Canis lupus familiaris: one gene and its partners. The protein of the gene in region 6 interacts with the protein of the main gene of each other region in a pairwise test. Links are inferred from orthologs where the notes say so. Each region holds a gene or a part of one and is shown on either strand. Other genes may lie near its edges.

Region 1 (2,826 bases), on a different chromosome or scaffold from region 6:
GGGGGCCAGCGCCAGGCTGTGGGCCCAGGGGGTCACTTGTCTTGGAGATCTCAGGAGACACGGGGACCTGACGGCTCCAGCATGGGGGGAGGGGGCGTGTCAGATCATCCCTGGGTTAAGCAGGTTCCCCGGAATCCACACAGCCCCGGGCGCCCTCCTCTCTGTCCCCTACGCTGCTGTCCCCATGCAATTCCCACGTCGGAACAAGGGACCTGTGTTTTCATTTTGCCCCAGCTCTGCGGGGCCTACAGCCGCCCTGCCCGCACGGAACCCTCGCCTCAGGCTCTGCATTTGGGGAAACCAGCCGCAGGCTCCTTGCGGCCGGAGTGGAGTCCTCGAGGCCTGGCCGGGCGGGTGCCCCGTTGGCTGGAGGCCCGGGAGCTGTGCCCCTCGAGGCTGGGTCGCGGCTCAGCCCCGGGATCCCGCGGGCACCTCCCCGCGCTCTCCACCCCTCAAAGAGCCAAGGGAAAGGGAAACAGGAAACGGATGGTTTTAATACAGTGACTCGATGGTGCCGCGGGTGTGGGCGGCCGGGCCGGGCCGGGCCGGGCCGGGCCAGGGGCCGAGGGGGCGCCTGCTGGGGCCGGGCGGGCCGGGGCGCTCCTGGGCGGCCGCGGGAGGGGCGCAGGCGACCCGCTCCAGCCCCGCCCGCCCCGCCCGCCCCGCAGGGAGGCTCGCTGCGGGCGGCTCACCAGGCGAAGAGCGGCTTGCGGTCGTCCTTGGCGAGCTCGCACAGGCAGCTGAGCAGCAGCAGCGAGTCGCCCAGGAACTTGGGGGGCAGCACGTCGATGAGCAGCTTGCGCAGCGCGGCCGGGCTGCGGGGGGGGCTGGCGCGCAGGTCGGGCCGCTGCCGCAGGATGCCGTAGGTGTTGATGAGGAACTCGCTGAACTCCGGGTGCACGTCGCGGTTGTAGCCCAGCCTCTCCAGGCGCGCCGTGAGCGCCGCGTAGCGCTGGGTCAGCTCCCGCAGCCGCGTCTGGTCCACCGACCCGTCCAGGGACTTGGTGCACGTCTGCGGGGGCGGCTCCGTGGGCGGCGGCCCTCCCCTGCCCACCCCCTGCCCACCCCCTGCGGCGCGGCCCGGGCGCTGGGACCCCGGGTCACCCGAGGCCTCCCCGCCGCAGAGGGCAGGTGGGGGGAGGGGGGACCCCTAGAGCTGTGTGGGCAGCACGGGGTGGGGCCTCCGGGAGGGAGGGGCCTGGGGAGGGGCTCAGGGGAGGGAGGGACCCCGGGGAGGGAGGGGGCTCCCGGGGAGGGAGGGTCCCGGGGGGGAGGGAGGGACCCCAGGGCGCGGGAGGGCCCCAGCGGAGGGAGGGACCCGGCAGGGAGGCGGCGGCAGGGGCGCACCTGCTTGATCTTCTCGGGGATGTTGGACACGGTGAAGCCGTACAGGCGGGTCAGCCCCGGGAACACGTAGGCCAGGATGCGCCGGTCCAGCTGGAAGGCGATCTCCCCGACGATGCGCCCGTCCTTCTGGGCGCCGCAGCAGCCCTGGATCTCTGTGAGGAGCGGCGGGGCAGGCCGGCGCAGGACAAGGACAGTCAGGGGCCAAGCCTCCTCCTGCCGCACCCCTGGATCCGTTTGGGGGAACAACTGAAGTAATCGCGCCCGGGTTTGGGGTGAAGCGCTGGGGCCCGGCCCCCCCCCCACCGCGGAGGGCCCCGGCCGCCCCCAAGCCGGAGGGTAACAGCAGGGGAAGGAGAGCTGGACCCTCCTGCGGTCCCAGGGCAGCGACCCCTGTCCCCTCGCCCCAGGCAGCCTGACCACCTGTGGTCCGGGGTCGTCGCCACCCACCCCACCCCCGTCCTCTGAGACCAAGGGAAATGCCTTTAAAACTTGTTTCTCAGCCCAGGAGTGTTTGTCTTGTCCCCCCAGAACCTGCTTCCAGACCTGCTGCAGCCCCGTCCCTCAGTCAGCAGACCCTTCCCACGCTCCTGGCCCCATGCGTGTGACCCCGAGACCCCGGCGAGCACAGCCGCATCCCCGCCGCCCAGAGCCTCCGCCCGACACCTCCCTCTGCTCCTGCCGGGCTTTCATCCCCACGAGGAGCCCAGGGCTTGTCCAGCCACCAGACCAACCCTACAGGTGACGCCTGGTGCAGCCTGCGGGCTCCACCCCAAGGGCAGGGGCGCACCCACGGGTGGGTCCCATGACCACACACAGGACACCCCACACGGGCACCTGAGCCCTGAGAGCGGCAGGACCCCAGGACCAGCCTTGGCCGTGGCCGTGGGCAGGTGGTTGCCCTCCTCGGCCCCATCCTGTGCCCGGGTCCCCTTAACCATCCAGCCAAGACAGCCTCCAGGGCGCTCACACGGCGCCGCCAGTGGGTGACCACAGGGGCTCATCAGCCCTTTCAGGACAGGCTGCTGCCAGGTGGCCACTGGTGACCCCAGAGGACAGGCCCCCGAGGACGGACCCTGAGGACGGCCCCCAAGGACAGGGCCCCGAGGACAGACCCCCGAGGACAGGGCCCCAAGGACGGGCCCCAAGGACAGACCCCCGAGGACAGACCCTGAGGATGGCCCCCGAGGACAGGGCCCTGAGGACAGGCCCCGAAGATAGGCCCCTGAGGACAGGGTCAGGATGCAACTGCCTCAGCCGTGCACCCCCAGACGCCGAGAGGGGAGCATCCGCGGACAGGGCCCATGGGCGTCAGGGGAGGTGGCTCTGCGGTGGGGACAGGGAGGGGCTGCAAGGGTGTGGACAGCCCGGCAGAGGGTCCCGTCTGAGCCACACGGCCCAGAGCCCGGCTCCCCACTGAACCCCACGAGGGCCCAGAGCTGGGGGGCCCTGGGGCCACGGGGTCCCAGTGGGCAAAGCAGG
Region 2 (3,820 bases), on a different chromosome or scaffold from region 6:
GACGCGGTGGTCACTGTGCACGGCACTTCTCCACGGTGCACACTCATCATGGTGGAAAAGGCAGAAATGACTCCAGGGGTATTGTTCAAGCGACCGTTCTCAGCAAGCAAATCTGGGGAAGTGAAGGGGTCTCAGGACCATGAAACTCACTCAAAACAGGTTATCCATAAGGTATTATATTCACCTCTAAAGCAAATTTAGATTTGTGGCCTTAAAATACTATATTCAATATCCTTTAAAAATGTGAATAAACGGGACGCCTGGGTGGCTCAGCGGTTGAGTGCCTGCCTTCGGCCCAGGGCGTGATCCTGGAGCCCTGGGATCGAGTCCCACATCGGGCTCCTTGCATGGAGCCTGCTTCTCCCTTTGCCTGTGTCTCTGCCCCTCTCTCTCTCTCTCTCTCTGTGTCGCTCATGAACAAATAAATAAAATCTTAAAAAAAAAAGAAAAAAAAAAAGAATGTGAATACAAAGGAGATACAACTTGTTGTTGTTTAAAAAGTATATCCAGGGCAGCCTGGGTGGCTCAGTGGTTTGGCTCCTGCCTTCAGCCCAGGGCGTGATCCTGGAGACCTGGGATCGAGTTCCGCATTGGGCTCCCTGCATGGGGCCTGCCTCTCCCTCTGCCTGTGTCTCTGCCCCCTCTTTGTGTCTCATGAATAAATAAATAGAATCTTAAAAAAAAAAAAAAAAAGTATATCCAATGTTTAAAAGAACCAGCACTGACAGGCATTTATATCAGTAAGGCGGGTGTAGGGGGAGGTCTCAGAGATCTGCAACAGGCATCTTCATCACAGCCTGTGGTCTGATTCTCCTATTTCTGGTTAGATTCCAGTGTTTGGCTACAAATCCCCAAATTAACATATATCTATATTCAAAGATGGTTTGCTTTGGAGCCCGTATTCTGGCTGACCACAGGACTTCAAAGTCAAGCCAAATGCACCAAAGAATCCACCTGTCTTCAAGGACAGAGGTACAGCCCTGGCTGCAAACCATTTTCTGGGTATGAATCCCACCGGTCTTCTCCATAGGGTGAAGGTACTGACTGTAATTATCTTCTTACATCCTAACATCCTTCAGACAGTGCTCCTCAAACTTTAATGCACAAACAATTCACCTGGGGAGCTAGTTAAGATGAAGATTCCGACTTAGCAGGTTGGCTAAGTCCTGAGACGCTTCACTGCCAAAAGGCAGGTAATGCTGATGCTCCTGATCCTTGGACATTTCCAATAGCAAGATTTCCAGCAGCTTCAGTGGAAAAGGTCTAATACTTACTGATCAGGTTGGATGTGATAGGAGAGAACCTCTCTTTTGCTGTCATGTCATTTAGGCTTTTCACTTTCACGGAACGCTTTATGTAGGGATTCATAATGGAAGCAGCCATTTTAGGTTCCTTCAAGATTTGCTGAAAGTACCAAAAAATAATTTCGTAAACTCCTTAAAGCATAAATGATCCTAGCTGCCACAACATACTTCTTTCGCATGAATCACGTATTTCGTTAATTAGCACTCAAGCACTTATGAAGAGAAGTTTACAATCAAGTACTTTTCATTGCCTTTGAGAATACTTTCTACCTTTATCTCATATATTTCTTGAAAAAATTTAAAAACACTTTGTAAGGTTTCTTAAGTCTATTTTTGCTTTTCAAGAGATTATTAAAAAATTAAGCAGCCAAAATAGTCAATTAACTGCATATTGTTAACGTATTTAATATGGGTAATCCTCTAGATTTTCACAAACTACGAGAAGGCTAGTGATGCTAACACTCATGTGCAGACCTAAAAAGGTGCTCTGATGGCAAAGGAGGCCTCCTTGTCATGCCCTGGGAGGGGGCCTCTATGTCTCAGCCTGGTCCTGCCCCTGCCCTGTCTCTTACAGGGCCCCGTGAGAGACCTCTGGTGTTTCCAGAGAAGCCTCAGCCATTCTGGGATGGGAGGTGGCTACCAGGAGTGACAGCATGGGTCTCTATTTTGTTAATTCATAAATGTCTGTTTTCAGTGACCCAAGGTAACTTCTGGTACCCTGTTCCCCTCTGTATCAGGCCAGAGTTCAATGAACCAATGGCTGTTTCCATCCGGGCACCTTTCGTTCAATTAAATACCCCTGGCAGTCCCTTTTCTCAGGCTCCTGGCCAGAACTGTGAGTCTAATCCAGGCTACTTGTCACATACTAGCATCTAGGGCTAAAATTTCAATTTAAGTGACTCCATAAAAACAACACTTTCCCCTAAAAATTGCTGACTTACAAAAATTAAAAGCATTCTGGTGTTTGGGGAATCCAGTATTTCATGTTTCTAGTTTTTTTCTGCTCCATCATCCAGTGGGAAAGCTTTGTAGTGGCATCTGTGTAGCATTAACACTTTCCTCTCAGTTCTAAAAAACTGCTAATTTTTTATAGAGACTTCAGGTAATTGCTTCCTTTCTATCTCTCTGTATCTTAACCGATTTCCAGGTTTTAGTCAAACCCCATTCTAAGAACCACAACCCAGGTCACGCTCTCTACTGTGAACACTGCTGTTCACGTTTAAAATGGGCATAAATGACAAGAGCGGGCAGTAAGTATCAGCTCCAAAAGAGCTGTGTGTGAGCCTGCCTGCTCTGTGTGGATCATGCCAACTAAGACCGCAAGCATCATCTGCAGACATAAAGGAATACAGAGCTAATGTTATCCACTAGGACAAAAGTTCTGATAAAAAAGCTTACAATGAAAAATGAACAAGTATCATCCTATGTGACTAGCCTGTGAGGGTTTTCTCTTCTGAACAGTAAGATAAAAAAATCTTTAGAAATAAGTGGATTAAAAATACAAGAACTTCTGAAAGCATAATACCAAAAAAGAGCAAAACTTTCTTGGGAGAGGGTATAGACTCCACCTTCAATCTAGAACTCAAAGAGGAGAATTTCAGGATGCCTGGGTGGCTCAATGGTTGAGCGTCTGCCTTCGGCTCAGGGTGTGATCCTTAAGTCCTAGGATTAAGTCCCACATCAGGCTTCCTGCGTGGAGCCTGCTTCTCCCTCTGCCTGTATCTCTGCCTCTCTCTCTGTGTCTCTCATGAATAAATAAAATCTTTGGGAAAAAAAAAAGAGAGAGAGAATTTCTGCTGTAAACAAAATGGGCAGGAACCTGTTAACTAGAAAATGGAGTTAAAATTACAGCAGATTTTCCCCTTTAAGTTACATAGTAGACTTCGGTTAATTCAATTATTTTACTCTTTATGTTAAAAAAAATGTTAAAATGGACTCCCTTGTAAGCTTCATTATCTTTATCAGTTCTCTATTATCATTACAGAGCCCATATGACTTTCCTAATTTTGCTGCCCAGCATGCTGTGCTTGGTCATTTTCCTCTCACATCTTGGGAATAAAATAAAAATTGAAACTGAGGAAAGGCTTCAAAAGGAAAAGAAATTCCTAGTAAGGCACGTTATAATACATTCTAAAAACTATTTTGAAAATACCTGAAATACAAACACAGATTTTCAAAGGTGACTTCTATTTCTCCTCTAAGCCCCAAGTCTTGGTTCCTAATATTAATATCCTGGTATGTATCTGCCTGTACCTACCACACAATAGGTTCAAAATATTAATACCCACTACTATCACTATCAACATGATTTCGGGTTTTTTCTTTTTTTATAGTTCATTTTCTCTCAGGATATGTCTCATTAGGGCTACACGGCCAAATAACCAAAACAAAAAACATATGATCGAAATTTAGTAAGTAATGAACAAAAAACTACTTACTGCTACTCTCAACAATTCCTTTTCTACTTGTTCCAGTTTATTCTGTTTCGATGCAGCAGAATAAAGGGCAGTGGCATA
Region 3 (4,410 bases), on a different chromosome or scaffold from region 6:
ACCTGAGATTCAAACATAAACCCTCAATACTAAGCAAATCAGAAACACTGGTACAGCTTCTTTCATCCAAAAGTAGGGAAAGGCTACAAGGGGTACAGCTTGAAAGTATAACACATATACTAAAAGCACATGCATGAGTTTCACTGAAATGCCAAGGGAGGAGTGAAGCCATCTGTGTAATCAATAACAGGATAGTTATAGATTTTTGCAGCAGTGAAGTCTTTTAAAAGCAACAGTCAATTATGAAAATAAAATCATTTTACAAGTGAAACTCTGTACTGCCTCAGAGTGTATTCAAAATTAGATTTACAACATTTAACATTTTAAGAAAACTTGGGTTTACTTTTACTTCTCTTCATTTTTGTTGTTTAAAACAATTTTAGTGGCTTATGTTAAAAGTATGTCCAGAAATATTCTACCATATATAGAGTAGCATTCTTTCTCAGAACTTAAACCTATTTTCTCTCTAATAGCTAGTCTTCTTAATAAAGAAATAGCATAAAATATAGCTGAATCTTAATTATGAAGTAATTATCAAACAAGGTGCTTGCACTATTTTTACCCTGCTCCAGTTTTTCAACAGCTTATGGAAATTACTGAAAAGAGATTTATATTCATAAACCTTCACCCCATATCCACTCCACCACACAGCCCAACTGGTGCACACATACTGCTCTGGCTTTTGGCAACAATGGGAAAGAAGGGGAAGACAAGGGAGGAAGACTTTGCCAAAGGAGAAAATCTAGAAAAAATGTAGGTTCTTTCCCAGATTCCCCTTCTTCCTTCTATTTGCTTTCAAGCAAAAATAGTTTTGTCAGAGTTTGCACCTTCTGCACAATATTGGTAGGGGGGAAAAAAGTGAATCTTTCTCAACCACTGCTACTCTCTCGTGCGTTATTCCAGCCATCTCCAGGAAGTCCCTTCTATATAGACTCTCTTTTTCTTCCTTGCAACTGATAAGAGGAGAGGATAAAGAAGAAGGGGGCTGTAAAATATGGGTGAGCATTTGACTTCTACTATCTCCTCCTATTTTCTTACTTCTCTCTTACCCCCTTTCTTTATCAAGTGCAGCGGTGGCTGCTACTGTCTGCCAAGCATGCCTGTCTTCTCTCTGGGATTGGCTAAAGCACTGACAGCTCGGAAAGCGATTGTAGGAACTGAAGCTCCACCCCCCTCATGATGGCCCTGGACCATTCATAAACTAAATAACTCCAGGAAACAGCAAGGCAGAGAGAGAGAGAGAGAGAGAGAGAGAGAGAGAGAGAGAGAGAGAGAGAGAAGAGAAGAAGAAGAAGAAGAAGAAGAAGAAGAAGAAGGAGGAGGAGGAGGAGGAGGAGGAGGAGGAGGAGGAGGAGGACGAGGAGGAGGGGGAGAAGGAGGAGGGGGGAGGAGGAGAGAGAGGGAGAGAGAGAGAAAAGGAGGGAGGAGAGAGAAAAAGAGGGAGGGCGAGGGAAAAGGAGAGAGACGTCGGAGGGGAGGAGGGAGAGACGACTCAGAAAGTGGAATCTGCACAAGCAACCTAAAGGGGGAGGAGAAGAAAAACCCTTGAATCCTTATAACTAAACCCCAGATGCAACGCAAGCAACGACTTCGTCACACTAGAATAGATTCTGTGAGGGCCAAAATTATAAATTACGAAGCAGAAATGAATATCAAACAACTTCCAGCGGTTTGCACCTAGAGAAAGACAAGAAGCAACCACTGCAAACAAACAAACCCAGTCCAAACAACGCCTCCAGTAGGAAAAGAGGAAAACCGCTACAACACGACCCCCTGAGAAGAGAGCAGACCGTCAAGCTGAGAGCGCGGGGCGTCTGCAAACCTCCAAGTGTGCCTCGGACAGAGCTGCACGTCGCTGCTCTCAGGACCTTAATTACGGCCTTCACCTTCCATTTGGGGGAGGGTGAGGAGAAAGGCACTCACCTACGCTGAGTGAAGAAGTCGTACCAGCGTGGGAGAGAAGTTTAAGAATGAAACACTGAATGTTTCGCTTTTATTTTTAAATTTACTTTGGCACTTAAAAGACCTCATTTCCAGATTTCTGGGCCATCTCGGCTGTAGACATCTAAGCCTAACCTCTTGGTAACCTGAATTTTTCTCTCGGCCCCTCTCCTCCCCCCTCCCCTTCATCTCTCTCACAGCACATCTTTATTTTACATATCAAGCAAAAAGGTCCCAGCAGGTACTTTTCTTCTTCAAAGATTGCCATTCCCCCTTATTTCGGGAAAAGAAAAAAGGTTTCTAAAGAGGGGAAAGAAAAAGCAAGGCGGCTGTCGCAGCAGCCGGTCAGTCCAGGTGGAAAACAAGAGTGAAAGTGGGGCTCAGGGGAAGCGCGACGCCTCTTTCGCCAGCCGCAGGGCCACCACCACTGCGTGAGCCTTGGATCCCTCAACGTACTGCGAGACGCCGGTGTACAGCCCGGACCTGTGCCCCAACATGATCGCCGCTCAGGCCAAGCTGGTTTACCAGCTCAATAAATACTACACCGAGCGCTGCCAAGCACGCAAGGCGGCCATCGCCAAGACCATCCGAGAGGTCTGTAAGGTGGTCTCGGACGTGCTCAAGGAAGTGGAGGTACAGGAGCCTCGCTTCATCAGCTCCCTGAGCGAGATCGATGCCCGCTACGAGGGGCTGGAGGTCATCTCGCCCACAGAATTCGAGGTGGTGCTCTACCTAAACCAGATGGGCGTCTTCAACTTCGTGGACGACGGCTCCCTGCCCGGCTGCGCAGTGCTCAAACTGAGTGATGGGCGGAAGCGGAGCATGTCTCTCTGGGTCGAGTTCATCACAGCGTCCGGCTACCTCTCGGCGCGTAAGATCCGCTCACGCTTCCAGACCCTGGTGGCTCAGGCGGTGGACAAGTGCAGCTACCGGGATGTGGTCAAGATGATCGCAGACACCAGCGAGGTCAAGTTGCGCATCAGGGAGCGCTACGTGGTGCAGATCACTCCCGCGTTCAAGTGCACCGGTATCTGGCCTCGCAGCGCGGCACAGTGGCCTATGCCCCACATCCCCTGGCCTGGCCCCAATCGGGTGGCGGAGGTCAAGGCCGAAGGGTTCAACTTGCTGTCCAAGGAGTGCTACTCCCTGACCGGCAAGCAGAGCTCTGCGGAGAGCGATGCCTGGGTGCTACAGTTCGGGGAGGCGGAGAACCGCCTGCTGATGGGCGGCTGCCGAAACAAGTGTCTGTCGGTGCTGAAGACGCTGCGGGACCGCCACCTGGAGCTGCCAGGCCAGCCGCTCAATAACTACCACATGAAGACGCTGCTGCTGTACGAGTGCGAGAAACACCCGCGGGAGACGGACTGGGACGAGGCGTGCCTAGGCGATCGGCTCAACGGCATCCTGCTGCAGCTCATCTCCTGCCTGCAGTGCCGCCGCTGCCCTCACTACTTTCTGCCCAACCTCGACCTCTTCCAGGGCAAGCCCCATTCGGCCCTGGAGAGCGCTGCCAAGCAGACCTGGAGGTTGGCCAGGGAAATTCTCACCAATCCCAAAAGCCTGGACAAACTATAGGGTGCTGGGGACTGCTTGAAAAGCGACACAGACCGGAATGCTCTCTAACACACAACACACACAACTCAGCGACCAACAGCAGAAACTCCGGACACAAACTTTTATGTAAGCCACCTGAAAGAAACAGGAAGCAGGCACAAGACCTTCGTTAATTAACAAGCAAACAAAAAGAGAGCAGACCAACCAACCAAAATAAATCACATTCTTGCACAAAAGTGATCGTTTTTCTTCCAAACAATGTGAATTTAAAAGGTCACACAAAAGAAGCAATCGGGCTTTGCCACCACAAAATGAAACCCAAGGTACATTTTCAAATCAATGTATAGTAGTTTCTCCTCTTTTCCTTCGCTCCCTTTCTCCTTTCTCCTCTCTCATCTTCTTTCTTTCCCTCTCCCTCTCCCTCTCATTTCATTTTGTTTTGGGTTGCCTGAATGTTGTCACCAAGTGAGAAAAAGTATTTAATTATATGTAAAATTTCTCTTTTAAAAAAAGTTTTGCTGATGTTAAATGTATCTCAGTGCCAATGTCAGATTGTGCCCCTCCCTTTCTTGCACCTCTACCCTCACCCTAAGCAGTCTTGTTGAAAACAGTAATAAAAATATTACTTTACATTGTAATTGACTGTGGATTGTTCTTAAATGAAGGCAGGGGAGATCACAATTTATAATTTACAATGTAAAGATGTGAACTTCAGGAACTAAATGCAAAGCTTTCACTGGAACTCTAATTTGCAAAACTTACAAATATAGTCCTTTTTTTTTAATTTTTTTGCCAATTTAAGCATACAAGTCCCCCCCCCCATATTTGGAAAAGAGAAAGTATTAATTTTACTCGGCTATAATATTTTATTTGTTCTGTAAATTTTGAAGTTTAAAGTAATATCTTTGTTCACAC
Region 4 (3,820 bases), on a different chromosome or scaffold from region 6:
ATAAATGGAAATTTGTTACAAATACAGAATTTGCAGCCAACTGTATGGGAAGTTTAGTTTCGTAAAGTAGGCTCTTTTCATGTAATTCTGTAGCTCAAAACTCTCGTGTACAGTTCTGTTCTAAGAACATAGCTTTACCAGATGCCTGAGTTAAACCAAAAACATCTAAAGTGATTGTCGGTGTCAACCAGATTTACAAATCTGATTATACAAGATCTAGTATCCCTAATAGAGATTTACAATAATCTGTCCTTGTCTCAATACTGAAGGCTTGAAATACTTCCAATCTCAGAATTCTAGATGAATACAGATAATTATATGTGACCTAATTCCACATAACTTTAAAATGTCAGATGTGACAAACTGAGATACACAGTCACACTTTTATTTTCCAGTCAGCGTAATCCTTCACTCAGTTTGAGGAAGTGTAGCATAGGGGAAAAGTGCACTCATTTTGGAGCCTTGGTTTTGAATCCTGGCTCCTCTTCACTTCAACGTGACCTTGCTCAAGTTGAATTCTCTATGCCTGTTTCCTCATCTATAGTAATGGAGATAATACTACTACCCCAGAGTTATTGAGACGATTAATGAGTTAAAACAAAAGGTACTTAGAATAGTATGTGGTACATGCTAAATACTACTTTTTCATATATTCAAATTATATGTATAAAAATAAATTAGCTCAGTCTTTGGTAATTTAGAGAATAGTCTCTGAGCTACAAAGAATTTGGATTTTCTTGTGGATGCAATAAATGCTCTTAGGTATATTTTACATTTGTACGGAAAACATTTGTCTACAGTATCTCTCATGTTGATACAATACTGAATTTGGCCAACTACACTTAACCATATTTAGTCAAATGGATGGATTATAATCTAAACGTTTCTAAAGTTAGCATGTGTGTAGATCTGATTTTTTTCTTAGGACTTTTGTGTAAAATAGTTGCCATATTTTACAATTTCAATGACTATGTGTGGGTTTTTTGGTTTTGTTTTTTTTTTGGAATGGGTGCTTTTGAAAGAGGACTGTTTGTCATTATATCTATTTTTGTTCATATACAAGTCTGTATTTCTAATTATGCCAGTGAACCCTTCTCTCAAACCCGAGATTTTTACACACTTGCAAATAGTAATATAAAATTGTACCAATATTTGTTACTAAGGTAAAAAAAAAAAGCATAAACCTCCCACACCCATTATTTAAGTTGAACATACCTCTCCAACATATTCCATGACAAAACTCATTCTTTTAATCTTCACAAGGGTTTTTACACCCCAGCCACAGCCATTACTAGTTCGAAAGATGCAAAGTGAATACTGGGTGCCTTTTTGTACAATCCTATTGGGACAATCGGGTCCACATTGACACCTCGAGTTGCATTCATAAATGGGGGTACCAGGTGGGATTTTAATTTGCTGGTTTTTATTATAAGCCAAAAGAACTCCAGCTTCAGCAGGACAACATTTCTCAAAGAAGCAATCTGTACATGAACAACCAAAGGTAGCTTCATTGACTAAGCTGATTCCAGGAGCTGGTTTGTATTCATTAATATAGTAGAAGTCTGAAGGTGGGCCCTCTAAGTCAACAGTATTTTCAACAAAAATCATTCCTTTATGATTCTTTCTTCTGTTGAGTTCATCTTGCCATCTCTGCAGAGCTATCCTCTGTTTAGCCTTCTTTACAATGTATTCAGCAATGGCAGGTTTCAGAGCTTTGTTATTGTCTTTTAGAGATATTGCTTTGCCTTTCTTTACCTGAGATAAATAATTATGCTTGTCATTAGAGAACTGCTGAAGTAGTAATGGGCACTTGAGATTTTGCAAAGGTTCCCAAGTATTTGTAGAATCTGGCCATCCTTTCCATTTTACAAGATAATATTCCATATCCTTAAAATATAAAAGAAAATTGCAATCAGATTATGACAGTCCTAATTACTTAAAATAATATCTTGAAGGGTAAGGTAGCCATTATCATTCTCCTTAATAAAGTTCAGAATACACTGAGTCAGAGGTTTTCTTTATACTACATAAAATATGTACAGAATTTAGTTTAGTATGTTTGAACACAGGTAAAGAATTGCACCTCGGAGATAAGAGTACTGAAATTCAATGGTATTTATCTTGATCATGGAAACAGGTAGTCTCAAAACTAACAATTTATGACCTACGTTAGTACTTGACATGACCAGCACAGATGTAGGCATCCTCTAAGTAGGGAATTTTAATATTTTACATTGGATATAAGGCAAGTTCTACTTCTCTATATCATGGGGCACACAGCCCTTAGATGTTCTAGAAACACAATGTTCAATACAAACATTCCTAGCTGCCATGTAGCTACTGAGCACCTTAAATCTGGCTAGTTGAAATTGAGATGTGCTTTAAGTACAATATACATTGAGTTCAAACAATAAACAAAAAAATAACATATTCAACATTTGAAAAGTACTGATTACTGAAATATTTTGCTTTTATTGGGTGAAATATCTTTTTTTTTTTTAATTTAAAATCATCTCTATGAGCAATGTGGGGCTCAAACTCACAATCCCAAGATTAAGAGTCACATACTCTACCGACTGAGCCAGCCAGGTGCCCCTAATTAAAAATATTACTGAAAGCAATCTCACTGGTTTCATTTCACTTGTTTAATGTGATTACTAGAAAATTTAAAATTACATATATGTAGCTTATATTGTTTCTATTGGACATAACTATTCCAGAGAATTCTTACTTTAGACTCACGCATGAATGGATTAGGTAGCAGCTACCAAAGAGCAAACATTTTGATTTATCCCTCTGACTGCTGTTGTGGCCACCATGGTAACTAGAATTTTGCCTTCCTACCCCAGTGAGTCACTGAGGTTCTCCTCCCTTAAAATCAGGGAATTCCATGTTAAGTAAGTTTCTCTTTAAAAATGTAGTCAAGTGTGTAATAAAATAAAAAAATTCTAAAGCCCTTCAATTTTTTCTTTGTCGTCTGGAATAACATATATCCACATTCTAAAATATAAAAGTGATTAAACTGTATTCTACAGTTTTTAGTTATTTTAAATCAGATATAGATTAAAACCTTAACTGGGATACATTTGCTTTTCCCTAAAATTTTTAACAAAGTTTTTATTATAAAGTAAGGATGAGCATCACACTTGTTCTACTATTCATAATTTATTAATGCCAAATAACCTGGAAGACTTGAGAAATGTTGCTGAGGCACAAATTAGGGGGAGGTACCCTGAGGCAGCTTTGCTGAAGTCACTTAGCCAGTAAGTTTTATTTTCTCTCCACCGATGAATCTCAATGTTTCAGTATAGTCTACTCAATAAGCAATACTGCTTGTGAATTAAAAGAACTATTCTTTATCAAAAACAGTCAAAATATGCATTACCTATTAAAAAATATGGTTAAATTAAGGTGTGAAGATATGCACAAAAATTGTACTTTTGTGGAAATACATATTGTGATTTCAGTGGAAAAAAAGGAAAAGCTTAGTCACATATTTAAGTGTTAAACTGGCTGACTAAAGTAACACAGATTTCTTCCTCCTGTCCGGTTACTACAATTTAGGATTTACATTAGTAGATATCTGGCTCAACAATAATGTGATCCAAGTGGCAGTATCTAACATATCTATTCTACTTCTTAGCTAAGGAAGTTTTTAATTTTTCTGACTTGGGAATAAAGCAATTCAACTCTAGTCCTCTTTTTTGTCTACAACAGTTTTTCCTATCATAACCCTGGATTATGCCAAAAGTTGTCAGCAAATAATGAAAGAAACAATAACACTGGCTTCAAATCAAATGATTAAGCTAAATTATCATTC
Region 5 (4,568 bases), on a different chromosome or scaffold from region 6:
TCCAGCCGGCCCCAAGATCTACTTCTGTCACGAAAGCCCCTTGGCAGGGTGAAGGGGCATAGGGTGGGTGGGTGGGTGGTTGCAGAAGGCCCCCACCGCCCCCAGGGAGCGGCCTTGATGCATCAGGCTGTGGGGTGCGGGCCCCGGCCTCTCCCCTCCCCCAGCGCAGACAATAGCCCGGCAGAGCCCCAAACCCGGCTTCCACATCAGCAGGGCTGAAGTGGGGCCGGAGCCGAAGGGGCCCAGCTTCCCGAGGCCCCTTTGTTGCCCAAGAAGGGAGGCAGGAAGTGGGTGGGATGGGCGTGGAAATGACCAGGGCCTCATCCTGTTCCCCGCACAGCCTCCTAGGAGACACTAGCCCTCCGGCTTTGGGGCGCGGGACGACAGCCGGCTCGGGTCTAATCAGGGATCTCCCGCGACGCTCTCAGGCGGGGGCGGGGGAGTCGAGGCGCGTGCGGGGCGCGAGGAGGGCTCCTCTCGGACCGCGGGGGACGCCCAGGGCAGGGCCGCCTGCTGCGCTACCCGCGGGGCTGCCCAATCTTCCCAACTCAGGCACTGCGCCCCGGGACCCGGCCTGGGCCAACCATCCGGATTAATTTCCACTGCCCCGGCCTTCCAGTGCCGGGTACGGAGGCACAGAAGCTGGGGACCTGCTCGCCCCAAAACAAAGGGTCCCCGCCAAGACCTGGTCCTCGGCCACCCCCCACCCCCAGGTTCTCCCCTCCCCCAGCTCCCGGGATTTGAATGCAAACAAAGCGGCGGCGCTGGGAGCGTGGCGAGCCCGGCCTGCGGACGCCCCCTGTCGGCCCAGTACCCCTAGCTCTGGAAGGGCGGGGGGCTGGGGGTACGTTCACCCCTCCCCCCTCCGGCCCCCCAACACGCCCCCAGGCCTCCCTTGCCCCTTACCCTAGCCCGGGGCCGGGCCCGGGCCCCGCGGCGCGCTCCGAGACGCGACCAGCACGGCGGCGCCCCCACCCCCAGCTCCTCCCGGGGCGGGGAAGCAGGGGCCGCGGGCGGGGAGGGGGCCGCAGGAGCGCGGGGCCCGGGCGCGGCGCCCCCCACCCTCGCCACCCGGAGCGGCTGCAGCGCGAGCGCTCCCGCCGGGGACCGGGCGGCCGGGCGTGGGTCGGGAGCTTGGCTCTCCGGGACAGCCCGCCTCCCCGGCGGGGCGCGCGGGGGGCGGGGGGCCGCGGCAGGGAAACCCGATCCACAACATCGGCCACGGTCCAAGCCCGCCCCAAACTTTCCGTCGGGGGTGGGGGAGCCGGGGGCAGTTCGGGGGCCCGGAGAGGATCCCGGCCGCCGGCCCGACAGCACGGGGTCCCCTCTCCCCTTCGCCCCGCTGTCCCTGGCCAGTCCGCGCCTCCGGACGCTACGGCTGCGGGCGCTGCCTCCCGGCTCCCGACCCCCGCCAGGCAGCTCGCGGGGGGCGCAGGAGGGATCCCGGGCGGACTGCCGTCCCCGCCGCCACCCGCGCCTGCGCCCCCGGACCCTGTCCTCCGCGCGGGCGGCCGCCCCTGCCCGAGTCGGGGACAAAGCGGCGGCCCCGGAGCCCCGGCGCTCCCGCCCCGCGCAAGCCCGGCCTCACTCACCTCTTCTGCGCGGCTTGAATCCCTGGGCGCCGCCCTCGCGTTCGGCTCGGATCGCGGTCCGCCCCCACGCGCGCCGCCGCCCGCCCGCCCGCCCGCGCGCGCCCGCCCGCCCTCCTTCGCTGTCCCCTCCGCCCCCGCCCCTCGGTCCCGGCTCGGCTCGGCGCCCCTGGGCTCGGGCTCCCCGCGCCACCGCGCCACCGCGCCACCGCGCCGGGCGCCGGCTCTTTCTCCGGCGCTGCCGCCGCTCTCCGCCCCCTGCCCCTGACGTCAGGCGCGGGGGGGCGTCAGCCGAGGCCGGGGGCGGGACGCAAAGGCCAGCGCCGGAGGGGGCTGCGACCCGCCGCGACCCGCGGGGCCCCCGGCTCCCCTCCCGCGCGCTCCGACCCCCGCCCCTGCCCGCGCCCCGCCGCCCCGCCGCCCCGCCGCCCCGCGCCTCGGAGTCGCCGTCTGCGCCACAGCGCGCGGAGGTGGGGCGGGGGAGGGACCCCGGGCACTGCCTTGGGGGTTCGGACTCACCCGGCCCTTCCGAGGAGTCCAGCGCCCCCCGCAAGGCCACCCGCGGGCCGGGCGCCTGGGCTCGGGAATGGGGCCGAGGAGCGCCCACGCTGCGGTCACAGGAACCAACGCGGGCAAGCCACCTCGGGGCGAGTATCCCAGGGAGGGGAGCGGGGGAAACCGAGGCTCTTCTTTGGGGCGGACCAGAGTGGTTTCTCTTTTGACCCCAGGGCCCCCCCGGCTCCCCGCAGTCACGCTGGAACGAGTCTTACCAGCCGGGAAGACCCACTTATCTCCGGGGAGTCTGCCCCTCGGTCTTCATGCTCCACACCGAGGGACAGCGGCGCGCTTGCCCGGCTCCCGGTGAAGACGATCCTCCGGGAGACTCCTGTTGCACGGAGCCTGCCCCCAAGAAACGACTCCTTCTGATGCCACCGGAAGGCTGAACAACAAGTGACAGGAGCTTGAGCTCTCCTGTTCAGATGAAAGCGGCTGAGGGGAAGCCGAGCTGGAGAACTCCCACCTCTAGAAGCGCCTGCCCCCGCCCACAGCAGCTCCTAGAAGTCACTTGTGGCTCTGGCCTCCTTCCCTGGGCGGTGCTGGAGTGGACCTTGCCAGCTGGTCCTCGGAGCTGGGCAGGTGGACAAACCCCAGGGAAGCCGCCCCATCGGCACCCAGTCACAGATGCCTCCTCTTGGCTAGGGGCAAATGACAGAGGTAGAGAGACTGGAGCCCCGAGGCTTTGGTGGTAACTTTAAGCGAGAGCAGTCCTAGAGGGGAGGAACAGTGTAGAGCCCCGTCAGCAGATCTGGATTATAAATCAGTCCCGACAGGAGCTTTTGTTCTGAGTTAAAACTTGGCATCTGAAAATGGAGACCAGAAGAGTAGTGGAGATAATTGGGAAAAGCAGCCCAGTTTGGATTCAGTAACAATCGGGTCTTTGCTGGTACGCATAAAGGCCCCTTCTCCCCCACTGGCCAAAGCCACATTTCCCAGCTCCTTTCCACCAGGGGAAAAAAAAAAAAAAAAAAAAAAAAGCTGTGGTCTTGGAGATGCTGGAGATAGAGGGCAAGCCAAGTTAACAGCATGGGATGGGCAGGGAAGGTTCTGTGCTTCAGCTGGCCGGGAGGGAGATGTGTTTGACTCCTCTTCCAGGTTAGATGCTGTGATTAAGTGGAGGTAGACTGATAGGCAAATATCCTTCACATTTGTTCTGGGCTTTAGACTTTGCAACACACATTTCCTCACATCATCCTCATGACGACTCTTCAACAGGCAGCTACTGTTTCTCTGATGTTAGAGATAAAATGAGTCTCTGGAGGGTTTAGCAACCTGCTCAAAGTCACATAGATAATTAGCAAGATCAGAATGTTAAATCAGGTCTTGGGACTCCCAGTTCTATCCTTCCACGAAGTCAGAGTGCATCTGGACAGCTTTTAAGCTCCAAACAGCATGTCTCCTGCGGCTTTTCTCACCTCTGCTCCCACCCCCACCAGGCAGAGACTTGAGCTCCTGGCTCCATCTGCAAGATGGCCCCAGTGGAAAGTTTGAAAGGTGGTTTGGTTTCACTGGCAGGTACAGTCTTCTGGACGTTATGGCGGGCTTCTCCATCACTGCCCTTCCCTCCCCAGTGCTCCTCCAAGATAAGGCTGCAGCTCCCCCCCAACCCCCTGTTCTACCTGCACTCATTTCCTGCCGGGTTCTGTTCATTTCCAGCGCTGGCCTTTTCCATGGGTGGGTGGACAGAGGATAAAGTTTCCTGCATGACTACTTGCTCATGATTCATACTTTTTAATAAAAGCACAACTGGTCAAAAAAGAGGATTCCTGGGTTTTAGATTAAGAAGGGGGAACAAAAGAAGTCTCCTGTACCTGTCGTGTACTCCCTACTGCCTGTCTGGCATATTCTATTTAAAATACCTATGCCTCAGGCCTTAGACCCTGACAGACCCTCCTGCTCACCTGCTTGCAGCCAAGTTAAGGAAAGACCTAGATATGCTAAATGCCTTCTAAGGTTCTCTAAAGATCTGCTGGCAGCTCAGCAGAGGCCAGTCCCTATAGATGGGCCCAGGAGTCTTATCTGAAAAGCAAGCCCCCGCCCCTTCCCCCACTTATGTGCCATGGTGTCCCTCCTTTGAGCTCCTTACCCCTAGCTCTTGAGAGGCAGCTCTCAGACCGGGTGGAGCCCAGGATTCACACTGAGTTTCTCCAGTCAGCACTGCCTGGCTGACTTACAAAGGATCCAGGAGCTGCTGTCAACCCACAGAGGGGGAAATGAGAAAGCCCGGGTCAGCCACCCTGCAGGGATCTTTCTGAGGGCCTGGGGACCGAGGTGAGTGGGGATGTAGGAAAAGGACTTCCTCTCTCTACTTCCTCCTACAGGAGAGTTATCAAAGCTGTCCACCTGGGAAGCCTTTCCCTTCCCAGCCCCTCCCTGCCACCATCACCAAAAGGAAGCAGGAAAACATCCGTCATCACAGCC
Region 6 (4,365 bases):
GGATGTGATTGTAATGTACCTATGTAACTTATTTACTTTTGAATGTTCTTCTGTATCTTTAAACCTTTTATTAAATAAGGTTTTAAAAATTCAGAGTTGAATGCTGTGTTCTTTTGGGGAAGATTTTCACCATCTGGGATTGACGTTAAGTAGGCCCTGTTTTGCTTGCAGGGGGTTGCTTGACATTTTTGAACCACAAGGAGGATTCTCTTTTGTCAGCTCTTTCTCGATACCAGGACAGGAAAAATAACACACTAGCGTTTTGCCTGGCTACGGATTATTGACTAGATACGGGTTTTTTTTTTTTTTTTTTACAAAACTTTAGACAAGAAAAAGTCTCAACTCAGTGTCTCACACAAAAATATGAACACGGCACGCTTCCAACGTGTTAGTTTGAGGGGATGTATGGAGGGTGCAGAATGCAATCAGGTGGGACAGGGAAGCTGCGGTGCTAAAGACCGTATTTTCCTACCCAGCGGAAGACCAGTGACGGAGGCATTTGCAGCCTTAACTCCACTCCAGAATTATATTATCTTTTAAACAAGGTGCTTTGTTAAAAAAAAAAAAAAAAATTTTTTTTAAGGGCACCTGGGTGGCTCAGTGTTTGACCTCCTGCCTTTGGCTCAGGTCAGGATCCTGGGGTCCTGGGATAGAGCCCCGCATGGGGCTCCCTGCAGGGAACCTGCTTCTCCCTCCGCCTCTGTCTCTGCCCACCCCTCATGAATAAATAAAATCTTTTTTAAAAAATGAAATAAAGGGCAGCCCGGGTGGCTCAGCGGTTTGGCGCCTGCCTTCGGCCCAGGGTGTGCTCCTCGAGTGCCAGGATTGAGTCCCGCGTCGGGCTCCCTGCGTGGAGCCTGCTTCTCCCTCTGCCTGTGTCACTGCCTCTCTTTCTGTGTCTCTCACGAATAAATAAAATCTTTTTTAAGAAATGAAATAAAAACTGGAAAATGTGAAAAAGGAAATGCGCCACCAAAGAGAGCAGTGTCCGGAGCGTCAGGCCAGCGCCTCTGCAACCGCCCCACCCCGCCCCCAGCCCCAACCCCGGGAGCGCGCGGAGCGGGCGGGAGTCCGGGCCGCCGTTGCCATGGCTACGCTCGGGGGCGGGGCGCGGAGGAAGCGGCTCCGCAGCCGGCCCCGCCCCGCACTGCGGCAGTAACGCCTCCGCGGGCTGCGGTGGGACCCCGGCGGCCCCGCTGCGCCACACCGCCGCAGCCCGCCGCAGCCTGCGCGCCGCCGCCGCCTGTGGCCCCGCTTCCCCGTCCTTCGGCGCCTCCGCCGCCCGTGTGCTCGGTCCTCAGCCGCCCTCACCGCCCGGAGCCATCCCTGCGTCTGCAAAGAAGCCGCTGGCGGGCTGGCGTGGCAGCCACCGCCGCGACCTCAGAACAGGCTCTGCCTCCGGGGACCGCACAGCCCTCGTCTGCAGAGCAGCCGCTCCTCGGCCGACTGGAGGCCGGGCTCCGGCCGCGGACGCCGGGATCGCCTCCGAGGGGAGCCCCGAGTGCCGGCGCCCGGCTGCCGGGAGGAGGCGGCCACGCCCCGCGACCACACCCGGGCGCCTCCGGCCCCGCGGCGCAGCCCTCGCCAGCCGCGCTCGCTGCCCGCCTCCTGCGCTGCGACGGGACGCGACCCCCGGCTGCAGGTGGGGGACCCGGGCCGCGGGCCCCGACTGAGGACGCCGGTGGCGGCGGACGCGTGAGGCGACTGCCCGAGCCTCCCGGGGCTTGGCTCCGGGGACCAGCCGGCGGACTGCCTTTGGGGGCCGCGAAGGAAGAGGGCAGGACTCTGGTGTCGTTTGTTAATTGTGATTGCGTCAAGCTTGCCTCCCTCGCGCCTACGGGGGTGGGGGGGTGTCTGCTGCCGCGCTGAGCCCTAGAGCGCAGGGAGCCACAGCCTAATCCGTCTTTGTAGAATCGGGGCCCTCGCTAGTTGGGGAAATGGCGATGACGCTGTTGGAAGACTGGTGCCGGGGGATGGATGTGAACTCCCAGAGAGCCCTGCTGGTCTGGGGGATCCCAGTGAACTGTGATGAGGCTGAAATCGAGGAGACCCTCCAGGCTGCGATGCCCCAGGTGCCCTATCGAGTGCTTGGGAGGATGTTTTGGAGGGAAGAGAATGCGAAAGCAGCCTTGTTAGAGCTCACTGGCGCTGTCGATTACGCCGCGATCCCCAGGGAGATGCCGGGTAAAGGAGGTGTCTGGAAAGTGGTCTTTAAACCCCCGACTTCCGATGCTGAATTTTTAGAAAGGTTGCACCTCTTCCTAGCGAGAGAGGGGTGGACCGTGCAAGATGTTGCCCGCGTCCTTGGGTTTCAGAACCCCACTCCGGCCCCGGGTCCAGATATGCCAGCAGAGATGCTAAACTATATTTTAGATAACGTTATTCAGCCTCTTGTTGAGTCCATATGGTACAAGAAGTTGACGCTGTTCTCGGGGAGGGACATCCCGGGGCCTGGGGAGGAGACCTTTGATCCCTGGCTGGAACACACTAATGAGGTCATAGAGGAGTGGCAGGTGTCTGATGTAGAAAAGAGGCGGCGGTTGATGGAGAGTCTTCGGGGCCCCGCCGCTGATGTCATCCGCATCCTCAAGACGAACAACCCTGCGATAACCACTGCCGAATGCCTGAAGGCGCTTGAGCAGGTGTTTGGGAGCGTCGAGAGCTCTAGGGATGCGCAGGTCAGATTTCTGAACACTTACCAGAACCCGGGAGAAAAGTTATCTGCGTATGTCATTCGTCTGGAGCCTCTTCTGCAGAAGGTGGTGGAGAAGGGGGCCATAGATAAAGATAACGTGAACCAGGCCCGCCTGGAGCAGGTCATTGCCGGGGCCAACCACAGCGGGGCCATCCGGAGGCAGCTGTGGCTGACCGGGGCCGCGGAAGGGCCTGCCCCTAACCTCTTCCAGTTGCTGGTGCAGATCCGCGAGGAGGAGGCCAAGGAGGAGGAGGAGGAGGCGGAGGCCGCCCTCCTGCAGTTAGGCTTGGAGGGGCACTTCTGAGGCCCAGGAAACGGCGACAGTGCACATCTAGATCGCAGCCGCTTACCTTGTCTCCGTGCTCTTACAGATGTGTCCCTAGTGGTAAAGACTTCCGCCATGTGCTGTTTTGGGGGTGGGGGTAGGGAGTCAGGCCTGAGTATTCATGTAACATTAGTACAATCGCGCAAATGAGCACCCTGAGCTGCTACAAGTGAGTCGTACTCGCTGCAATGCCAGGTAAAGACTTGTACACAAGTGCTCAGTGCCAGCTGTCATTGTGGCAATCATCCGTTGTAAAAACCATGTGAATCCCTGACACTTCTCATTGAGATAATTGTGAAATTGCATGTTCAGATGTTTTAGCGTGGGGCCTGGCAAACACAGGAAGTGTTCGGTAAAAATATGAGCCGTTGTTACTAATATTGTGAATAGTTTTTGTGTTTACAGTAAATTGTTCCTAAGTTTTTTCCCTAATTTATATTAATGGAAAGAAATGTGACTCATACTATTTATTCAGCCTTACAAAGCAAATTGTTTTATTTTTCATCTCGAAACATCTGGATCACTTTAATTGAAAAGTATTCTGAGACTATGGAATGGGATGTTAGAAAAATACTGCAATTCTAGAATTGTGTGAATCAATTTTTCTGTGTACAAGACACAGGGAGTGTCTTGTTGCATGGGGAGATTAATAAGAACCAGTTACAGTATCTATTCCCCCATTTCAAATCCTTGTCATTGAATGGTAGTTCTTGTTCATGCTGATTCTAAGTGTTCTAAATTTGAAGTTGTCAAAATACATGTATATGAATAAAAGTATTTAAAAAATTCTATTGTCTTTTTTTTCTGACACATATATAAAATTTCAGTGTAATTAAGCTCTATATTTATTCTCTTAGGAAGATTTCCTGGTGTCACTTAAAAAAAATATAACTTCAGTTACTGTATCTTTAACCTTATAGCATACTATTTGAGTTTGAATTACAGAACCTTTCAATGTATTCAATTTTTGCATGTTTTCTACAAGGCAAATATTAGAAGGCTGAACAGACCTAAGTCAATATTAACTTACTATAAAAAGTTAGGAAATCCTGAAATGGGGCTCAGGATGTTATCTAGTAATGCTTTTTCTCCCCTTTCAAATCCCTTTTCAGGGATCCCTGGGTGGCGCAGCGGTTTGGCGCCTGCCTTTGGCCCAGGGCGGGATCCTGGAGACCCGGGATCGAATCCCACGTCGGGCTCCTGGTGCATGGAGCCTGCTTCTCCCTCTGCCTGTGTCTCTGCCTCTCTCTATCTCTCTCTCTGTGACTATCATAAAAAAAATAAAAACCTGGATTATTTTTTAAAAAATCCCTTTTCAGCTAAAAATGTTTGTTTTACTACAGGA
Region 7 (3,666 bases), on a different chromosome or scaffold from region 6:
AAGATCATCTAACCCAAGTCTATTCTGTAATAAAGTGCTGAAGTCCACGCACTTTGCCACACGCCGTACGGGACGTGAGAAGCAGAGTGGCTGTGTACCAGCCCTCCTGGCACTGCCGCCTGGGAGCCGTAGCTGCACAGCATCACCAGAGACCACCGTACCCGACTGCCAAGCCGACAAAAGACTGGGTTCTACTGGATGCGCCTCACTTTCATCTCATCTTAAGGTTGAAAAGTTTGAAAATCAAGCCATGATAGGTCGGGACTGTGTCCTGGGGGAGAGAGGCTGAGATTTTAGGGCGAAGAAAACTGCTCTAGCCCTGAAACAGTGAGGCTGAGTGAAAAACTGAGAGACGACCCAAGCAAACCGAAGGGTCCTGCCTGGATCTATGGGGGTAGAGATGGAAAACTCAGGCTCCGTGGCGATCAGCTCTTGAGGAAACTGGGCTGGGGAGCTGACGAACCCTGAGAAAGATAGAAGGAAAAGGGAAGAAACCACAGGCTGGGCAGCCTGGCTCCCCTTCTTAGTGGCCCCCTAACAACCCGATGCCCACTGGGCCGGTGCCCGGAGACTGGGGGCAGCTTTCCCTACCAGCCCCACCACTTCCCCGGGAGTCCTGGTCTCTGGTAGAGGCAGCAGCACTCTTACTGGAGAAGGTGGGCTTGGGGTCCGTGTGGGAGCGTGGGCACTGAACACCTGTCATAGGATAGGCCGTGACGACTGGGCCCTGGACCTTTTAAGAATCATGAGATCCATTTCTACGCTTTGAAAACTTTATTATTATTAAAACCTCTAAAGCGAGAACACACAGGGCTACCAGCGCTCCCACCCTGGATGCCAGGTAGCTTCAGCCTTGGCAGGCCTAAGGAAGAAAACACTTGTTACGCATCCTTGTCGACCCTCAGGGGGTCTTCAGCAGGGGACGGGGGCAGCTCCGACTCTGACGGTGTGATCACGGGTAGAAGATCTCCCCAGGAGCTGACGCGAGCACAGCGATACAAATCCCTATAGTAAAGAGAGGTCAGTGTGGGCTGCAGGGTCCTGCCAGCTGTCCCCAACTTTGGTTACAGCCTTGGTACCTGCCATGCTGGCGGGCTGTGATCACAGCGTGCTGCATGTGCCCATCTGGACAGCACAGGTGACAGTGCACGTGGCGTGGCCGTTTAAGGACAGGCTGAGTGAGACGCGGCCATCGAGGAGCTTCCTCTGGACGCCCCCGGGCAAGAATTACCATCGAGAACTTCTCCTCTTTTTGCTTCTTCTTGTTCTGAGATAAAAATATAGAGACGATTTGAAGGGAAAAGAGATGGGAAATAAAATCATGACCCCCCCTCCCCGAGTCCCTGCAGCCCTTTTCATACTCTGTAAGCCATGCACACCCAGGCCCCCAAACCTCCAGGCTCTTCGCTGACTTCCCCAGCTCTGCCTGCCTCGTACTCTTTATCATCTGCCCCCTCGGACTATTTTCTCTCTGCTGTAGGGTTCTCCGGATACATACCCAGCTGAAGGGGATGCAGTGGTAAGCCTGAGAAAAGCTACAGGCCAGAGGTTTAGAGGCTGCCAACTGGGGACAAGGAAGTTCATGTGGACACTGTGAACACGGAAAAGAACCAGAGAATCATACAACTGAAAACTCAGAGTGGCAGAGTTAAGCAGGGTGAGGGAGATGGGGGCACAGGAACCAGGGGCAGGGAGAGCGGGGAACAACCAAGACCGAGACTGGATGGGGACACAAGACAGCAGAGACTGGCTCAGCTTCACCCTCTCACTTTTCCTGGCCACAGCGGAGTTCAGGTCTTTGCGTGACGGAACGGCAGAGACAACACTCACCGGGGCAAAGACAAAGCCAGGTCGAGGGTCCAGAGGTGACTTCTCCTTCCCCTGAAATAAAAAAAATCAGGCTGGGTCTGAGGGGTGTATTCTTGTAACTCCGCGTCTGTACTCAGTAAACGGAGGCCTCCTTTAACGTTCAATTCTGATAATGACTAACTAGGCTCCTTGAGTTAAGCTGGCTGCTTCTCTAATACTCCAAACAAAGGACTTTTTCTTTGCAGGAGGAGTAAAGCAGGGACTTGGCACGTAACGTGGTGCTCTCCCTTGTCAGCAACCTCTACTTGCAGAAAGGTCCCATTGCAGGACAATTCAATTCACGATCATCCACTGGCTCACACCATCCCCAGAAGATAAGGTTCTTGGCTTAGCAATGCCCTGAGTCAGGGGTCCGCGCACTTTTTCTTTTTTTAAAGGCCCAGGGAGTAGACAAAATCAGTTTCTGTGCTGACTTGTCAACTCCACTCTTCGCAGGCCACATGGCACATACGAAGATGGGTGAGAGGCCAGATGTGCCCGCAGGCCCTGGTTGGCTAGTCACCCCCCTGCACCGTAAGGAGTGCGCGTGCTAACACCCTGAGCGTTACCCCACCACTGCAGGACTCTGAGCAGTGAGGCTCTTCGACTCGCAAGGGAGTAGGGCTAACTGGCGAGATGGTGGCGCAGGAGTGAAAGGAGAAAGAATCCTACCTTGAGGACCAGGTCCCTGGCATCCATGAGAAGGCAGTGGCCAGCTTTTGTTCCATTCTCTACCAATATCTGCTCACCAAAAAGGAGAATAAGCATAAGCCCTGAATTACACGAGGACACAAATGCTAGCAGCTCCGTGGGAACTTCGCCGAGGGAGTCGAGGGCCCTAAAGGAAAGGGCCATCCCCACAGCAGGTGGGGCTGCAGAGCCTAAAAGGGGGACGAACACACCTACGCTTGAGAACAACGGTCAAGTTCCAACGGAGACAAGAGAGAAGGAAACGCGTGAGATCCGTGAGGCTGCTTTACAACTTGAAGGGCAGAGGAATTTCAACTCACCAGAAAGTGACCTGTCTTGCGCCACAGGGTTTGGATGGTCTCAGTGCGGTCAGCCTTGCTGGGCAGTTCACTTAGGGAGAAGGCCGACACCACCACATCGAACTGGACCTGAGAACCAGACGCGGCGCATGATGGACCTGACACTCCCCCGGCCTGGCCCTTCCGGGAGCGTCACAAACTTCCCTCCCCTCGTATTTGTTCTCTTCTATCTTCTAACACTCCAGGCTGGGTTGCAAAACTGAAATCACAGTTTTCCATCTGCCAAATTCCACATTTAAGATTCTCTGAAGGTCGTCACTTGCCTTGGGTGACACAGGGAGAAACTGCCTGAAGAAGACACCTGGAACGTGAGGCTCCCCGGACGCTGAGCCACCTGTGGAGTGAAGCAGAGGCGTGGCAGCGGTGAGTGCGTAGGTATAAAATGATGTCTCGGCAAGAAACACGCCCCCAAGGATGAAGGACGCCACTAGGGAAGGGCGAGATGCAAAAGGGTAAGCAAACTTGCAAAGGGCTGGGGAGACTGGGTCAGCTGTCCTTTCAATCCTACCCGACCCATCCACGGCCCAGCAAAGGCCTCCACCACCCTCTGCTCAGCTGTGAGCTCGCAGGAAATCAGACTCCTCTTCAGCTTTTAGCCCCCCTCCACTCCCCGGTAAAACACCCTTTCCAGTTCCTGCTCAACTCCTCCAACTTCACAAGAGCCCTTCCTTATCCTTTGTCCTCACCTCTCAGTAGCTTTTCTGCCAAATCCAACATAGCAGCTGAGCTGTCCACACACATATACTCACGGAGGCTCTGGCCCCAAGCA

What was found.
Region 1: the proteins of PNMA1 (region 6) and SPATC1L interact in binary tests that used the Homo sapiens proteins (3 or more experiments, as listed by UniProt). The two-hybrid records come from large-scale screens. The link is inferred for Canis lupus familiaris from reciprocal best matches to the Homo sapiens genes PNMA1 and SPATC1L.
Region 2: the proteins of PNMA1 (region 6) and ATP5PO interact in binary tests that used the Homo sapiens proteins (3 or more experiments, as listed by UniProt). The two-hybrid records come from large-scale screens. The link is inferred for Canis lupus familiaris from reciprocal best matches to the Homo sapiens genes PNMA1 and ATP5PO.
Region 3: the proteins of PNMA1 (region 6) and MAB21L2 interact in binary tests that used the Homo sapiens proteins (3 or more experiments, as listed by UniProt). The two-hybrid records come from large-scale screens. The link is inferred for Canis lupus familiaris from reciprocal best matches to the Homo sapiens genes PNMA1 and MAB21L2.
Region 4: the proteins of PNMA1 (region 6) and SUV39H2 interact in binary tests that used the Homo sapiens proteins (3 or more experiments, as listed by UniProt). The two-hybrid records come from large-scale screens. The link is inferred for Canis lupus familiaris from reciprocal best matches to the Homo sapiens genes PNMA1 and SUV39H2.
Region 5: the proteins of PNMA1 (region 6) and SEMA4C interact in binary tests that used the Homo sapiens proteins (3 or more experiments, as listed by UniProt). The two-hybrid records come from large-scale screens. The link is inferred for Canis lupus familiaris from reciprocal best matches to the Homo sapiens genes PNMA1 and SEMA4C.
Region 7: the proteins of PNMA1 (region 6) and METTL17 interact in binary tests that used the Homo sapiens proteins (3 or more experiments, as listed by UniProt). The link is inferred for Canis lupus familiaris from reciprocal best matches to the Homo sapiens genes PNMA1 and METTL17.

The regions. Positions count from the first base shown.
Region 1 is NC_049252.1:39,448,546-39,451,371, forward strand, and holds the end of SPATC1L (speriolin-like protein), read right to left. Parts: intron 1,572-2,826; coding exon 1,348-1,571; intron 1,013-1,347; coding exon 689-1,012; 3' UTR 658-688; downstream 1-657.
Region 2 is NC_049252.1:29,060,534-29,064,353, forward strand, and holds part of ATP5PO (ATP synthase subunit O, mitochondrial), read right to left. Parts: coding exon 3,743-3,820; intron 1,405-3,742; coding exon 1,275-1,404; intron 113-1,274; coding exon 1-112. UniProt on the Homo sapiens protein: Subunit OSCP, of the mitochondrial membrane ATP synthase complex (F(1)F(0) ATP synthase or Complex V) that produces ATP from ADP in the presence of a proton gradient across the membrane which is generated by electron transport complexes of the respiratory chain.
Region 3 is NC_049236.1:48,899,669-48,904,078, forward strand, and holds MAB21L2 (protein mab-21-like 2), read left to right. Parts: upstream 1-1,391; 5' UTR 1,392-2,436; coding exon 2,437-3,516; 3' UTR 3,517-4,133; downstream 4,134-4,410. UniProt on the Homo sapiens protein: Required for several aspects of embryonic development including normal development of the eye.
Region 4 is NC_049223.1:20,695,956-20,699,775, forward strand, and holds part of SUV39H2 (histone-lysine N-methyltransferase SUV39H2), read right to left. Parts: intron 2,831-3,820; exon of another isoform or gene 2,747-2,830; coding exon of another isoform or gene 2,732-2,746; intron 1,888-2,731; coding exon 1,216-1,887; intron 1-1,215. UniProt on the Homo sapiens protein: Histone methyltransferase that specifically trimethylates 'Lys-9' of histone H3 using monomethylated H3 'Lys-9' as substrate.
Region 5 is NC_049231.1:46,161,196-46,165,763, reverse strand, and holds the start of SEMA4C (semaphorin-4C), read right to left. Parts: upstream 2,869-4,568; 5' UTR 2,360-2,868; exon of another isoform or gene 2,318-2,359; intron 2,060-2,317; exon of another isoform or gene 1,998-2,059; intron 1,674-1,997; exon of another isoform or gene 1,593-1,673; intron 1-1,592.
Region 6 is NC_049229.1:47,276,379-47,280,743, reverse strand, and holds PNMA1 (paraneoplastic antigen Ma1), read left to right. Parts: upstream 1-1,683; 5' UTR 1,684-1,937; coding exon 1,938-2,999; 3' UTR 3,000-3,809; downstream 3,810-4,365.
Region 7 is NC_049236.1:18,222,319-18,225,984, reverse strand, and holds the end of METTL17 (methyltransferase-like protein 17, mitochondrial), read right to left. Parts: coding exon 3,584-3,666; intron 3,232-3,583; coding exon 3,161-3,231; intron 2,967-3,160; coding exon 2,859-2,966; intron 2,590-2,858; coding exon 2,521-2,589; intron 1,882-2,520; coding exon 1,831-1,881; intron 1,592-1,830; coding exon 1,499-1,591; intron 1,268-1,498; coding exon 1,080-1,267; intron 1,006-1,079; coding exon 882-1,005; 3' UTR 757-881; downstream 1-756. UniProt on the Homo sapiens protein: Mitochondrial ribosome (mitoribosome) assembly factor. Binds at the interface of the head and body domains of the mitochondrial small ribosomal subunit (mt-SSU), occluding the mRNA channel and preventing compaction of the head domain towards the body.